Ovis aries: one gene and its partner. The protein of the gene in region 1 interacts with the protein of each later gene in a pairwise test. Links are inferred from orthologs where the notes say so. Each region holds a gene or a part of one and is shown on either strand. Other genes may lie near its edges.

The links.
Region 2: the proteins of DISC1 (region 1) and PPP4R1 interact in a two-hybrid assay, tested with the Homo sapiens proteins (2 studies listed by BioGRID and IntAct). The link is inferred for Ovis aries from reciprocal best matches to the Homo sapiens genes DISC1 and PPP4R1.

The regions. Positions count from the first base shown.
Region 1 is NC_056078.1:3,811,721-3,819,258, forward strand, and holds the start of DISC1 (disrupted in schizophrenia 1 protein), read left to right. Parts: upstream 1-3,528; 5' UTR 3,529-3,603; coding exon 3,604-3,703; intron 3,704-7,538. UniProt on the Homo sapiens protein: Involved in the regulation of multiple aspects of embryonic and adult neurogenesis. Required for neural progenitor proliferation in the ventrical/subventrical zone during embryonic brain development and in the adult dentate gyrus of the hippocampus.
Region 2 is NC_056076.1:42,181,901-42,188,970, reverse strand, and holds part of PPP4R1 (serine/threonine-protein phosphatase 4 regulatory subunit 1), read left to right. Parts: intron 1-2,215; coding exon 2,216-2,364; intron 2,365-3,160; coding exon 3,161-3,256; intron 3,257-4,607; coding exon 4,608-4,793; intron 4,794-5,802; coding exon 5,803-5,964; intron 5,965-7,070. UniProt on the Homo sapiens protein: Regulatory subunit of serine/threonine-protein phosphatase 4. May play a role in regulation of cell division in renal glomeruli. The PPP4C-PPP4R1 PP4 complex may play a role in dephosphorylation and regulation of HDAC3.

The DNA.
Region 1 (7,538 bases):
TAAATGGACTTGAGGAGCATTCCCGAGTGAGGGGCATGTTGTGTCCCAAACCCAAAGAGGACTATCAGGTGCTGTGTCTCTTTTTTGGTTATGAAAGTATTATTAGTCGCTCAGTCTGACTTTTTGCGACCCCATGGACTGTAGCTCGCCAGGCTCCTCTGTCCAAGGAATTCTCCAGGCAAGAATATTGGAGTGGGTAGTCATTCCCTTCTCCAGTGGAATCTTCCTGACCCAGGGGCTAAACCCAGGTCTCCTGCATTGCAGGAAGATTCTTTACTGTCTGAGCCACCAGCGTCATATAAAGGGCCAAATACAACAACTTATCCTTCACCTTATTTATGTATTAATTTTAATGTTAATAAATATTTAAATTAATAAATATTAAAAATATTTATTTATTTGAGACCGTCAAGTTCAAGTCTTGGTTGCGGCATGTGGGATTTTTGTTGAGTGCATCGGCTTCTCTCTCGTTGTGCTGCTCAGACTCAGCAGTTGTGGCATGTGGGTTAGTTGCCCTGTGGTGTGTGGGATCTCAGTTCCTCATCCAGGAATCAAACCCATACCCTCTGCATTGGAAGGCTGATTCTTAACCACTGGACCACCAGGAAAGTCCTTATCCTCCACCTTAGAATGGATAGCCTCTACTACCAGACCTCTTGAAAACCCACTGAGAAGGAAATCTCTAGAATTTTTGTCAGATTTGCTTTCCACCCCAGGACATACAAATGTCTCACCAATAAGCCTAGGAGAGCTACTCTTTCCTACACACTAGGTCCAATCAGCATAACATCATCAGTGCTATGGACCAGTGTGAGGTCTTCCAGAGCAGAAAGGCAAGAGGGTCCCTGCTTGACCAAATTAGGATGTAGGGCTGGAGAACTGACCTATCCTTGAGGGAGGGCAGTCTTCACTGTACTGCTGTTTTTGCCAGCTGAAGAAAGGCTGCCCTGTGGTTGGTCTTTACTAACAGGTATGCAGAAGAAACATTTTGCCAGACCAATGCTGCATAGCAGATACTAGGGGATGTGTTACTTTGCTTAAACAGTGAAGCTACAGCTGGTAGGGCAGCTGCAATTGGAATCGCCATCTGGTTTAGTTTATGATGACCCAGTGCCGTTCTTCAGGCTCCATCTGTCTTCACAGGCCACAGGGACGTGTTGAACGGGGAGGTGGTAGAAATCACCCGTGCATCTTTCAAGTCCTTGATGATGGCATTACTCTCTGCAGTCTCTCTAAGTAGGCAGTATTGCCTTTGGTTATTAACTGGGGAATGCTGCCGCACTGTTGGTCCTGCTGTTGACGGACTGGACCCTCAGCGGTGGCCATGGTCAGACTGGCTTTGCTGAGTGCAAGCCTGTATTGCTGAGCCGCCAGATAACTTCCAGGACTGCCGCCGCAACCACTTTGCTCATCCAAGGCAGAGGCAGCTGTAGAGGCTTCCACTTGGCTCTTTCTCACAAAATAACCCTCACTTTAAGGGTCGTGGAGCCAATGTAGGGATTCTGCCAGTTGCTGAGTATTATTCTAATTATTCCAACAGTGCATTCCCAAACTGGAGAAATAACCCCAGTATGGGTGCAGAGACCCCTATGAGATGGACCTGAGCTAAAACTCCATTCATCACCTGACCTCTGCAAACCTTTGCTTGGAGGAGTACCGCAGTGATGTTCTGGATGCTCTGGACTCAGTGTCAGCTCAGACCCAGTGTCCAGTAATTCCTGAAAAGTCTGATTACTTCCTTTTCCCCAAGGCACAGTCACCCTAGTAGAAGGCCACATGTCCCTTTGGGGAAGGCTCGAAGAAAGAGTAATAGTATGTATTTTTGACAATGTTGCAGAATCTTGTAGGAGACAAACATCCCCTTTGTTCAAGGAGTTTTGGGTCTGCAAATTGACTCAAGTCTGGGAATTGATGGAGTCTCTCTGTTTTAGTAATTTAAGTTAGGCTTTTGTTTGCTTGACCAAGAACTTTCCTGCTCATACAGATCACATAAGAATTCAGTAGAATTCTCATCCTGGATTGCCATGACTAACTGATCAATGCCATAGGTCTGTGGGGGCAGACTGTTCTGGTTGCTGCTTTGCCTTTGCTGTCCATTACAGAAACCGTGCCCACCCTGCCTTGGGTGATTCATTGCCACCATTCGGCTCCAGCCACGCTGGGATCCAACTATTCTCACTGCATTTAAGGACCCACGCTGCAGTGGTGCAGTTTCCATGGTAATTTCTGATCTACAGAGAAGAGTTGACCAGGCATGCTGGGTCACAGAGTTATTTCTCAGAGTGTCCTCTGGACCTCCTGGGAGTCAGTAAGTGGGTCTTATGTGATAAGTCTATGCTAATATTTCACTCTCCCTAAGCCTTTAGATAATTCCTTTACAGTGTACCAAGGCAGTTCTGGCATTTCCACATCATTTAGTGCTGGTCACCTCTTGCCTCCCATTTCTGTCAACTAGCTAAGCAAACAGCTTGTTCTAATCTCACAAACTGCGGTGAATCCGGATCTCTGCTTGGTGGTGACCGTCATTACATTCAGCCTCATCCAATGGTTCCCCACACTCTTCATATTAACGCTCACATTCATTCTGTCCCACAACACTCCGACTTCTAAGCATATATAGGTGTTTTCACTCACATGGTCCTGATCTTTTGAACGACCTTGACTCTCCTGCAGTTCTAGGACGATCCTTCCCCTTCCTCCAGGGAGCCTTTCCGACCTTTCACTGCCTCTTACCGCCCCTCCTCCCACTTCTACAGTGTTTCATGACAGACTTTGGCTCTTGCATATTCTGCTGTACGTCATGATTTAGTTTTACACGCTCATGTTTATCTTCCCCATAGGAGGCCGGGGAAGCTCCTTAAGGGCGAGAACCATTTCTGGCAGGTGCGTCTTCAGAGATGCTCCAGGAGACTCCTGCATGAATACAAGAGGAGGCGAGTGGGCTGGCTTAGGAACTCAGCACGGATCGCAGTTGTGTCCTGGGCTGGCTGCCCAACGTGGGGAGGCGGATCTGGGGCCAGCCCAGTGCTGCCAGAAGATTCAAACAGTTGGATCCTCATTTCATGTAGAACTACTCGCCCCGCTCTCTTTCCCAGGGTGAGCTGCAGTCTCCCCTCATCCTCCCCCCGCCCCCCGCTCCTAGCGAAAAGAGTCCCTCTCACTCCGTCCAGCTCTTCCATCAACCCTGTGGTCACTTCCCTAATTAGTGTCTGGGAGGAACCCTCCCGTCCCCCAAGGAGGGCCTCCTAGTCTCTCCCTTCCCGAACACCCGTCCTCTCCACCGCACTTCCCCTCTCATTTTCGTCCAACACCGAGGGAGAGTGAAAAATAAGCTCTCCGAGGTCTGTGACCCAGGCTGCGGGCTTGCGCGCCCCGCCCGCCCCAGCCGTCCGCGTGTGTGTGTGTGTGTGTGTGTGTGTGTGTGTGTGTGTGTGCGCGCGCGCGTGCCTGCCCCGAGGCTGGAGAGGAAACAGCCGGTCCAGCCCGGGAGGAGGAAGGAGCCTCCCCTTCCTCGCCAGCCCCCTCCCCACTTCCCGTCCGGCTCGGCCTTTAGCTTCCCGGACGCGGGCCTCGGGTGCACAGAGCCCTCTGGCCGCAGCGGAGATGGAGAAGGCGGAGGCGGATCGGGAGGAGCCGGCGGGGCGCATGCTGGGCGGGGCTCCCCAGGGCGCCCCGGCCGGTGGCGGCAGGGGGCACCGCGCAGGTAGGGGTGCTGTCACGGCCGCCCGGCGGGTCGGGCCGAGGGTTCCTCGGCGAGGGTGAGCTCTGTCCTCTGGAAATCGTTTAGGTCCGGGGTGCGCCTCGGTTAATATCTAGGGCTTCTGCACTCTTGCGGGGTGAGGGAAACTGAGGCAGGGCGCGTGGCGTGCCGAGCTGAAGTCTTTGTCGGGCCTGGGGCTGCCCGCCAGCGCCGAGCCGGGCCAGGTCCTCCCGGAAGACGGTGCTGAGATCCCGGGAGCCGCAGTTCCCGCCCCCGTGGGTCCCGGTGGCCGAGGAAGGCGGCTTGAGCGCGCGGCTGGGTTTCGCTGCGCCCGGGGACTGAGCCAGCCGAGGCTCGGGGCTCCGCGCGCCCTCCCCTGCGCACTCGCCGGACAGGGGACGCCCCGCCGCCTGGTCCGGGAACAGCGTCCTGACACCTCGCAGAGTCTCGGGTTTCAGCACTCGAGGACCTGGAGGGAGGAGGTTGGGGTGGGATGGGGGACGCGGTGCTGGCACCGTCCCAAGGGGCTGCTCTGCGAGCAGTTTCACCTCCCACTTCCTCCGCATCTGTGATGCCCTCGGCTGTCTCGGAGCTGGAGCCGGGGAGCCCCGGTCAAGCTGTCAACGCTGTCAGCGCTCAGCGTTGACACTGAGGCCGTGAAGTGCACAGCTGCTTTGCAGGAATGGCAGGATGTCCCCTGCCATCTCGCTTTTAAAATACACGTGCAAAGGAGTTTGAGACTTTGGGATAAGAATGAGATTTGGAGTGAGGGAGTTATGTGTCCTTGCTGGACTGGAAGGAGGCGGGTAACTTTGACAGCTTCTTGAGTCTTCCCCGGTGGCTCAGATGGTAAAGCGTCTGCCTGCAATGCGGGAGACCCGGGTTCGATCCCTGGGTTGGGAAGATCTCCTGGAGAGGGAAACGGCACCCCACTCCAGTACTCTTGCCTGGAGAATTCCACGGTCGGAGGAGCCTGGTCGCAAAGAGTCGGGCACGACTGAGCGATTTCACTTTCACTTTAGCAGCGCTGAACCTCGGATTTCATCACATACACAAAAGAACGCTGGTAACCTCCCCCCTCCCCATCTCGTCTGGATATCTGCTGTGTGTGAAAGCACTTTGCAAAATGTATGGTCAGTTGGGCAGGCAAATGCGATTTGGGTAATACCAGAGCCTTAAGAGCTGGAGGTTGAGACAGTTAGCTTGCATCTCAACCCTGCACTTAACTGTGTCTTAGTTGCCCCATTTATGAAATGGGACAATGACAGTGACCTCATAGAGTCGCTGTGGGTTTGACTGTGGCCATGGATGTGAACACCCAACCTGGTGCTGAGATACGTAGTAAGCTCTAAATAAGAGCCTCAGATGCTCTTTTCACTAAGCAAAACCCAGTTAATTTGGAGTGGTGAAAAAAAAAAAAAAACACAAACAAACCACCACCAGTTTGATTTGATTATAGTATGAATGTGTGTGTGTGTGTGTGTGTGTGTGTGTGTGTGTGTGTGTTCAGTCGTGTCTGACTCTTTGCAACCCCATGGATTCTAGCCCACCAGGCTCCTCTGTCCATGGGTTTTCCAGGCAAAAATACTGGAGTTGGTTGCCATTTTCTTCTTCAGGGGATCTTCCTGACTCAGGGATCGAACCCTTGTCTCCTGCATCTGCAAACAGATTGTTTACCACTGTGCCATCTGGAAAAACCACATCTCTTGTAAAGTATGAATCAGCTCAGTTCAGTTCAGTTGTTCAGTCGTGTCCAGCTCTTGGCAACCCCATGGACTGCAGCACGCCTGGATTCCCTGTCCATCACCAACTCCCAGAGCTTCCTGAAACTCATGTCCATCGAGTCGGTGATGCCATCCAATCTCATCCTCTGTCGTCCCCTTCTCCTCCCACTTTCAATCTTTCCCAGCATCAAGGTCTTTTCCATTGTGTCAGTTCTTCACATCAGGTGGCCAAAGGATTGAAGTTTCAGCTTCAGCATCAGTCCTTCCAATGAATATTCAGGACTGATTTCCTTTAGGATGGACTGGTTGGATCTCCTTGCAGTTCAAGGGACGCTCAAGAGTCTTCTCCAACACCACAGTTCAAAAGCATCAGTTCTTCAGCACTCAGTTTTCTTTATGGTCCAACTCTCACCTCCATACATGACTACTGGAAAAACCATAGCTTTGATAAGATGGACCTTTGTTGGCAAAGTAATCGCTGCTTTTTAATATGCTGTCTAGGTTGGTCATAGCTTTTCTCCCACGGAGCAAGTGGCTTTTAATTTCATGGTTGTAGTCACCATCTGCAGTGATTTTGGAGCCCCCCAAAATAAAGTCTGACACTGTTTCCATTGTTTCCCACCTATTTGCCATGAAGAGATGGGACCAGATGCCATGATCTTAGTTTTCTGAATGTTGAGTTTTAAGACAACTTTTTCACTTTCCTCTTTTACTTTCATGAAGAGGCTCTTTAGTTCTTTGCTTTCTGCCATAAGAGTGGTGTCATCTGCATATCTGAGGTTATTGATGTTTCTTCCAGCAATCTTGATTCCAGCTTGTGCTTCCTCCAGCCCAGCATTTCTCATGATGTACTCTGCATAGAAGTTAAATAAGTAGGGTGACAATATACAGCCTTGACGTACTCCTTTCCCGATTTGGAACCAGTCTGTTGTTCCATGTCCAGTTCTAACTGTTACTTCTTGACCTGCATACAGATTTCTCAGGAGGCAGTTCAGGTGCTCCAGTATTCCCATCTCTTGAAAAATTTTTCACAGTTTCTTGTGATTCAGACAGTCAAAGGCTTTGGTGTAGTCAGTAAAGCAGAAGTAGATGTTTTTCTGGAACTCTCTTGCTTTTTCGATGATCTAACAGATGTTGGCAATTTGATCTCTGGTTCCTCTGCCTTTTCTAAATCCGGCTTGAACATTTGGAAGTTCACAGTTCACGTACTGTTGAAATCTGGCTTGGAGAATTTTGAGCATTACTTTGCTGGTGTGTGAGATGGGTGCAATTGTGTGGTAGTTTGAAAATTTTTTGGCATTGCCTTTCTTTGAGATTGGAATGAAAACTGACCTTTTCCAGTCCTGTGGCCACTGCTGAGTTTTCCAAATTTGCTGGCATATTGAGTGTAGCACTTTCACAGCATTGTCTTTTAGGATTTGAAATAGCTCACCTGGAATTCCATCACCTTCACTTGCTTTGTTCATAGTGATGCTTCCTAAGGCCCACTTGACTTCGCATTCCAGGATGTCTGGCTCTTTGGTGAGTGATCACACCATCGTGGTTATCTGGGTCAAGAAGATCTGTTTTGTATAGTTCTTCTGTGTATTCTTGCCACCTCTTCTTAATATCTTCTGCTTCTACTAGGTCCATACTGTTTCTGTCCTTTATCGAGCCCAGCTTTGCATGAGATGTTCCCTTGGTATCTCTCATTTTCTTGAAGAAATCTCTAGTCTTTCCCATTCTATTGTTTTCCTCTGTTTCTTTGCATTGATCTCTGAGGAAGGCTTTCTTATCTCTCCTTGCTATTCTTTGGAACTCTGCATTCAAATGGGTGTATCTTTCCTTTTCTCCTTTGCCTTTAGCTTCTCTTCTTTTCTCAGCTATTTGTAAGGCCTCCTCAGACAACCATTTTGCCTTTTTGCATTTCTTTTTCTTGGGAATGGTCTTGATCACTGCCTCCTTTACAATGTCACAAACCTCCCTCCATAGTTCTTCAGGCACTCTGTCTATCAGATCTAATCCCTAGAATCTATTGGTCACTTCCACTGTATAATCTTAAGGGATTTGATTTAGGTCATACCTGAATGGTCCAGTGGTTTTCCTTACTTTCTTCAATTTCAGTCTGAATTTTG
Region 2 (7,070 bases), on another chromosome or scaffold:
CTCAGTTCGGCCCTTGTTCCCATTGGGTTACACATGTGTCACCTGGGTTCTGCCATTGTGAAAGGCAGCCTTGAAGGTCGCTCTGTGTGACTGTTTAAAAACAGCAAGCTGCTCTCACATCGTGGAGTAGGGGTGTGGGGAGAGGGCCCAGGCCGCCCCATTCCGGGGGTGGTTTACAGTCTGAACGTGGGCATCTGACACCGGTGACATCAGAGCATCATCAGGGTTCCTGACCACGCTAACCGTCAGGGCAATCTGGAATGTTACTGTAAAACAGAAAGCAGTTTTGAAAAATCCCCAAACTGCAAGTCTCCAGATCTTCTGTGGACTTGGCTTTCCTTGTTTGTTGCAGAAGCTAAACTTGTAAACTGTCAGTTAGCTCAGTGCTGGCAGATCACTGCTTTTAAAGCAGAGCCATACCTTCAGTGTCCTTCCAGACACACAAAATCCAGTTGCATTGAACTTGGGAAGTGTTGTCAGTGGAGGGGAAGTCAGCAGTTGTCTTCGCTGGGCCTTAGCATCTGTTGTCACTGTATGGTCACTTGTCTGGAGGACACACCTGGTGCATACGAGGTGCTCGGTAAGGGACGCTGGATGATTTAGTCGATAAATGATTGTGTTCTCAATCATCAGCATTGCGGACAGAAAGAATGGGGTGACACGTTTAAATTGTAGCAGGTTTAGGAGCTGAATTAGAGAAATAATTAAATCGTAATACAGTATTGCTACTAAAATCTCAATTACAGGCTGTAAATTTTAGGTCAGACAGTGTAAGTCACTGTTTCACGATGGGAAACACACAGTTATATCCTGAAACTCATATGTCCGTGTAGCTCTTTTCAAAAAGCAAACTACACAAATTACTTCTAGCTTATTTGTTTAAAAAGCATTTAAAGTAGCATATTCGATATTCCCATTAATGTTTATTAGGTGTTAGAGAATTGGCTGACTAGCAGGCGTGTACAGAGCGCCCCCTGGAGCAGGCTGCCTGTGTGAGGCATGCTCTGTGAAAGGCTTCCCGGGACAGGGTCATCAGGGGTCAGGGACACAGACCCCACCTGCCATGTCTACCAGGGGCAGAGCACTTGCCCAGTCCAGAGCATGGACCGGACAGTTGGCCTCCTCTAGTTCTGCGGTGATTTCCTTGTGGGAACTCAGAGGACTCTGAAAGGGGAGCAGAAGTGACTAAAGGATTAGTACAGATAGCCGCTGAGATTCCCGGAAGAGTGGGGATACAGTCCACGAGTAAGCTTTCACGATTGGACACCTCAGTGTAATGTGTTCAGTCAGCTCATCCTGTACATTTCCTGTGTCTCTGCTGCCAGTTACTCGTAGGAAACTTTATAGTAAATTTTATAAATGCTGAAGCATGGTAATAGGCTATCTTAATAAAATGCTGATTGCTTTTTAATCATCTCTAAGTAGAGCAGGAGCCCACTTTCTCATCTTTGTACTAAGTAAATTTGCAGTTAAACTTTATAAATTCCTATGTTTTGAGCATCCAGGGGGATTGTTACTTGAATTAATGCTAAACAAAATATATATATATATTTTTTTTTTGCTAAATTCCTCATTTGGGGCAGAGGAGGAAGAATGCTTGTCTTCGCTTTGAACAACTTTTATACAGAAGATATAACTCAAAGTCGTAGACAATGCTGGTTGTCAGACTTCAGCACTGCTGCTTGGCGATCTGTTGTTTTGCTTTCCTGAGAACAAGACAGTGCTTGTTTGGGATCCCTGTGTTTGGGGCAAGTCACTGATTTCACTTAAAAAAATTAGAGGAAAATATAAATAAACCAGAGTAAGATGTGAGATGTTTAAATGTGACTGCCACAGACGTCTTTGTAATTCCCGTGTTTTATGTTGGCAGGGTCTGTGTGACTGCTCTCCTGCTAAGGTGGCTTAGTAAGTAAGCCAGTCCCACTCATGGTCCCCGAAACATAGTTCACTGACCTTGAAATTGACTAGATAGCACCTCTTCTCGTACTAACGCAGAATAATGCACAGTAGTGGGTAAACACTTTAATCTCATGAAAGCGTATTAGTTTTCTACTTCTTCCCTGGGAAAACTAATGATTGACCACAGCAGTGGTCTCTTCCAGCTTCTTGAGGGTAGTGTCCCCAGAACACTGCGCCTCGTTGAGCCCATAACAGCGTCCGCGAAGGGGTAGTCCCGCACAGCGGCCCCGCTCACAGCCTGTCCTTCCACCCACAGCACAGGTGGATGTCTTGGCTGCTGCCCTGCGTGCCTCCAGCCTGGACACTGGTGACGAGGCCGGCGAGGCCGCCCGGAGGCCCCCTCAGGACGAGCTCCCCAGCTGCCGGCTCGACCATGACGCCTCTGGGCCTTTGATCAGTGAGGAGGTGAGGGTGCCACGGGGCGGGCACATGTTCTCGGGCGGCCGTGGGGCTCATCCCGGCCACTTAGTGCCCCCCTTCTGCATAAAGTCACCACATGTCATCTCTGTGACACCCGAGGGTCACGGCTCGTGCTTGGAGTTAGCAGTTGGTCCATCCTCCCCACCTGCCCACTGCAGCCCAGGTGAGGGCACCGCAGGGGGCAGAGCCTTCTGTTGGGGTGACGAACTCCCCCCCTGTCTTTCTGGAGAGGCGCTGGGTCTCTGACCGGTCTCTCCCTGCAGCAGGCATGGTGTTGAGCGAAGATCGGGACTTGAGGCCAGGAGTAGGTGTGGGCTGAGCTGGCCCCCGGCCTGTGTCCTGCAGTGGCTTTCCCCGTGCTACCGTGTCATCTGTGACAAGAAAAAAAGGTGTATTTGTGAACTTAGAAATAGCCAGAAATAGTAGAAGAAAAACTGCGTACAACATACCGTAGAAGAGTTGACTGTAGTACCCTCTAAGTACTGTTTTTATTGATTGCTAATTTCAGATATTTGGGCCTTTCCAAAATTACTTCTAAATTTGCTTTTCAATTACATTTCTTCTGGAATTTATTTTTAAACCTTAAGCAGCCTATTCTGCAAATTTGATTTGAGGCAGGGGAACTCTTAGGAGGTCTTACGTCTGTTTATAAACGTTGAAAAGCATGAAGACTTCATATGCATTCCTCCTTTGGAGGTCGTGAAAGGTGAACAGCTTGGACGGTGTAGGAGCAAGGAGCTGCCTGACGGGGTGGCTGTCTAAGTGGCTTTTCTCCCAGCAGACCTTGGACTCTGCCCTGCACTCTATGCACAATGGCTCAGACACGGGCCCCGGCAGTGGCTTCAGCCCTGAAGAGGAAAGGAGAGCTAAAGTCCAGGTCAGCAACCCCATACATGTTACTTTCACCCCGCTTTCAGCCCATTTCTCCCCGAATCTGGCCCTCCTGATAAGGTTTCGGAAAGGAGTGCTTGCTTGTGTGTCTTTTTTTGATGAGAAGATTCAAGCAGTGGAGTGGAGGACAAGCAGAGGCCTTTCCTTTCTCACACCATGACCCCTTCCCCCCAGGGTGCCCACAGCCACCCTCCTTCCGTGTTTCCTCAGAGCGAGTCTGCGGGCACGTGAGCACAGGCGTGCACACCTTTGTCTTTCAGAGACAGGCTGTCACGCCTGGTCTTCATGCCTGGGTTGTGTGGCTTGTAAAGTGGAGCTGGGTTTCAGAGAGGAGAACGTGGACGCAGGGCCAGAGCCGCCATGAGGTGCCGTCGGCCACAGGGTGCCCTGAGACAGAGGCTTCAAGTGTGGGGCCGCTGGGGTGTGGTGGTGCCTTTCTTTCGTTTCATTTTAAAAACATCGTGTCTTGGAGCTCTTTGCACAGGAACACAGACCCGCCTCCGCCCCCACCCCAGCACAGCAGCACCCCCGCCATGTGGGCAGGGCTGTGACGGGGGTGCAGGTGTGCTCTGACATCGCAGGTGAAGCCCGTGCACCATGATGGTGCCTGGGCCAAAGGCGGCGAATCCTTGATTGTTGTTTGTTGTTGATTAAAAATGGAGCCCACATTCACAGTGTTTTAAAGCACGCTTTTCCAAGCTAGTACATATAGACTGGCTCCTTGCTTCCATGAACTTCCACTTTATTTTTTAAAAATAGAGACTAAGTTTACAAAGTTCAGAATTGAGCTTCCCTCACAGTTTTCTCGAGCACCCACTTGGTTTTTCACCCAAGGCAGCAGTTGTGCCTTTATTTTGTAGCTCCCTGCAAAGCTGTATCACCCAAGATCATTGATACAAGTTGTTAGAGGTGTGCACACTTCGAGTTTCCATAGATAATTGCTAAAACTCCCCTCTGGAGGTGGTGGTGGTGGTTTTAAGATGCTGGCTGGTTGGCGGCGCGGGAGCAGACCCGTTTCCCCTGGGTCTCTGGGTCACTCCAGACTCTAATCTTTGCCAGCACTGAACCACCTGCTCTTGTTTCTGGCGTCTTGTAAATTTAGTGAACAGTTCTCATCGTCATCTAAGCTATTTTCTGTTTTAAGGTCTTGTTTGTCGTCTTTGTCCTAGAGGTACTTTTATCCACTGATACATGTATTTCCCTTTGCATGTTTTCTTACCTCTCAGTTTTTAGAGATGTGGAGACAGGTTTTTTGCTGCTGTATGAGATGCTGCGTTAAATCCAGGTATTTAACATAAGCATACCTAATCTACGAAGTCTCACCCTGTCTCGTTTAGGACGTGGTGCCCCAGGCCCTGCTTGACCAGTACCTGTCCATGACCGACCCCTCGCGGGCGCAGACCGTGGACACCGAGATCGCCAAGCACTGCGCCTACAGCCTGCCGGGTGTGGCGCTGACGCTCGGCCGCCAGAACTGGCACTGCCTGCGCGAGACCTACGAGACACTGGCCTCGGACATGCAGGTGCGGGGCCGCCGGCCAAACCTCGGGGCCGGGGCACAGGGCGCTGCGCAGAGGGTCTCCCTGCGGGTCCAGGCTCCTCCCTCCACTCGCACATCGCGCCTTCTTTTGGACTATACCCCTAAAATCTGCCTCCCATTTGAACCGCCGACGTCCCCAACTCACAGAGGTGCTGGCGCTGTGGTCTGAAATGTATGTGCAGATTAATTCTTAAGAAAGTGGGGCCCTTCCCCCAGAAACAGTAGCAGAAATGCTTCCTCCACACAGCCGGTGACCCTGAGCGGTTTTCCGCCTTTGTTCCCCAGCCTCTCGTGGCTGTGGTGACAGTGACGGGACAGCTCTGAGCGGAGCACCCTGCCCTCCTCCATGGGGGCGCACATCGCTGCAGGCACAGCATTCTGTCTCAGGAAGAGGTCCTGGTGTTTGGGAGTGGGGATAAACCCCTTGTCCTAACCAGCTTCTCAGCAAGTAAAGTTTTAAGCAAAATAAAAAAGTAAAATTTTAAATCAAGCCCACATGAAGATAAATAAGGTTTTGACATAAAGTTGCCTATAAAAACAGGGCATTCCTGTTCAGTGGTTCTTTTCCAGGGCTGCCTTCAAGAGATTTCCCCAGTCTTGTATTTCTTTAATGGCCAGTTCCTTAAGAATATGTTTTGGGGTTGTTTTGAATCCAGGGTAGACCGTGTGGAGCCAGGAGGGGTGCACCAGGAGGTTGGGCCCCCCGTGCTCCGAAGGCGCGCAGGCGGCTCCACCGTGCTCGCCAAGTGTTGTGTTCCTTCCTGAGTGAAAGGGGGAATGATACATACTCTGAGGGACTTGACGTTCTTCTGCCAGTTTTTGATAGAAAGTGAGCATTTTAAACTGGGTATCTATTATTACTATTTTATTTTGATTTCACTTGAGGTTAATAACACTGTTCAGATATAAATTAGCCTTCGTGTATTGTCCGGACGTCAAAGCACCAGGACTTTGTGTTCAGCTCACTAATGCCGCCGTCTTCACTCGTGCAGTGGAAGGTTCGAAGAACGTTAGCCTTCTCCATCCACGAGCTCGCCGTCATCCTGGGAGACCAGCTCACAGCTGCAGACCTGGTCCCAATTTTTAATGGATTTTTAAAAGACCTCGATGAAGTCAGGATAGGTGTCCTGAAGCACTTGCACGACTTTCTGAAGGTAACTTCTAAGTCCTTTTACATTAAAACACTGGCCTTGCACTGTAGATTTAGAGTCTTGACTCCACGCTGCCATCAAGATAGGTTCCCTTGTGTTCCGTGAGAAGTGTTGCCATGAGCTTGATGGCAAAAGGTGACTTAGAAAAGAGTCCCACTCTGATCAGTTTTGCTGGTGTCACTTTAGTGTTTAATTTAAAAATCACACTGAGTTTCATTTGAAAATGATGTTAGATCACAGTTACAAACATTAGTACATTTTTTCCTCAAACGTTACTGAACTGACCACACAGAAAGTCCTGTAGACGTTCAGCCTTCTGTGTTGTGTGGGAACTCTGAGAGGTCCCCTTGTCCTCCCCATCTGACGTGGACCGTGGTCTCCAGTACGAGAGCACTGACGGTAAATGGTTTAGCCCTGGGCAGCTACCGTAGTCCTAAGTCTGAGGTGTGGGAGAATTGTAATCACAGTTTCTCAGAGTGTCCCGAATTGTCCCCTCTCGACTCAGACCCCAGTGGGGAATCACACGTTGCATTGAAGTGTCTCTTCAGTCCCTTAGATCTAGATCAGCCTCCCTGACTCCCACCTTCAGTGGCCTGGGCCTGTTTGAAGAGGCTGGGCTGGTGGTCTTGCCGAATGTCCCCAGTTTGAAATGTCTGAGCGCTGTCAGCTAGTCAGATTCAGTGTCACAGGTGGTGCGTGCAGAGGCACGGCCTCTCTGCATGGGTCCTGGGTCTCCTCTCAAGGGTAACACGGTGTGGGCTCCTGGGGCCCCAGTGGTGCTGAGTCCAGACTCCTGGTCATGGGTCAGCGCCTCTCAGTGGGCAGTGCATTCAGGCTCTGAGCATCTCTCCCTGCTGCTTCTGTGCTCGCGTATCTGTACCCAGCTCCCCCCTGAATCACTTATGACCGTGTGGATTGTAAAATACCAATGTTCTATTTTTGTAACTCTTTCTATAGTTACTAGTATCTCCTGTAAAGATAACCTTTTCCTTCTCTTCCTCTGCCTTTTTGGAAGTTTTTTGGTTTTTTTTTTATAGTATCAGTGTGGACTCCAGAATTACCTTTTTATTCTGTGTAACAGAATCCATTTCTGTTGTTTGTTTGAAGCG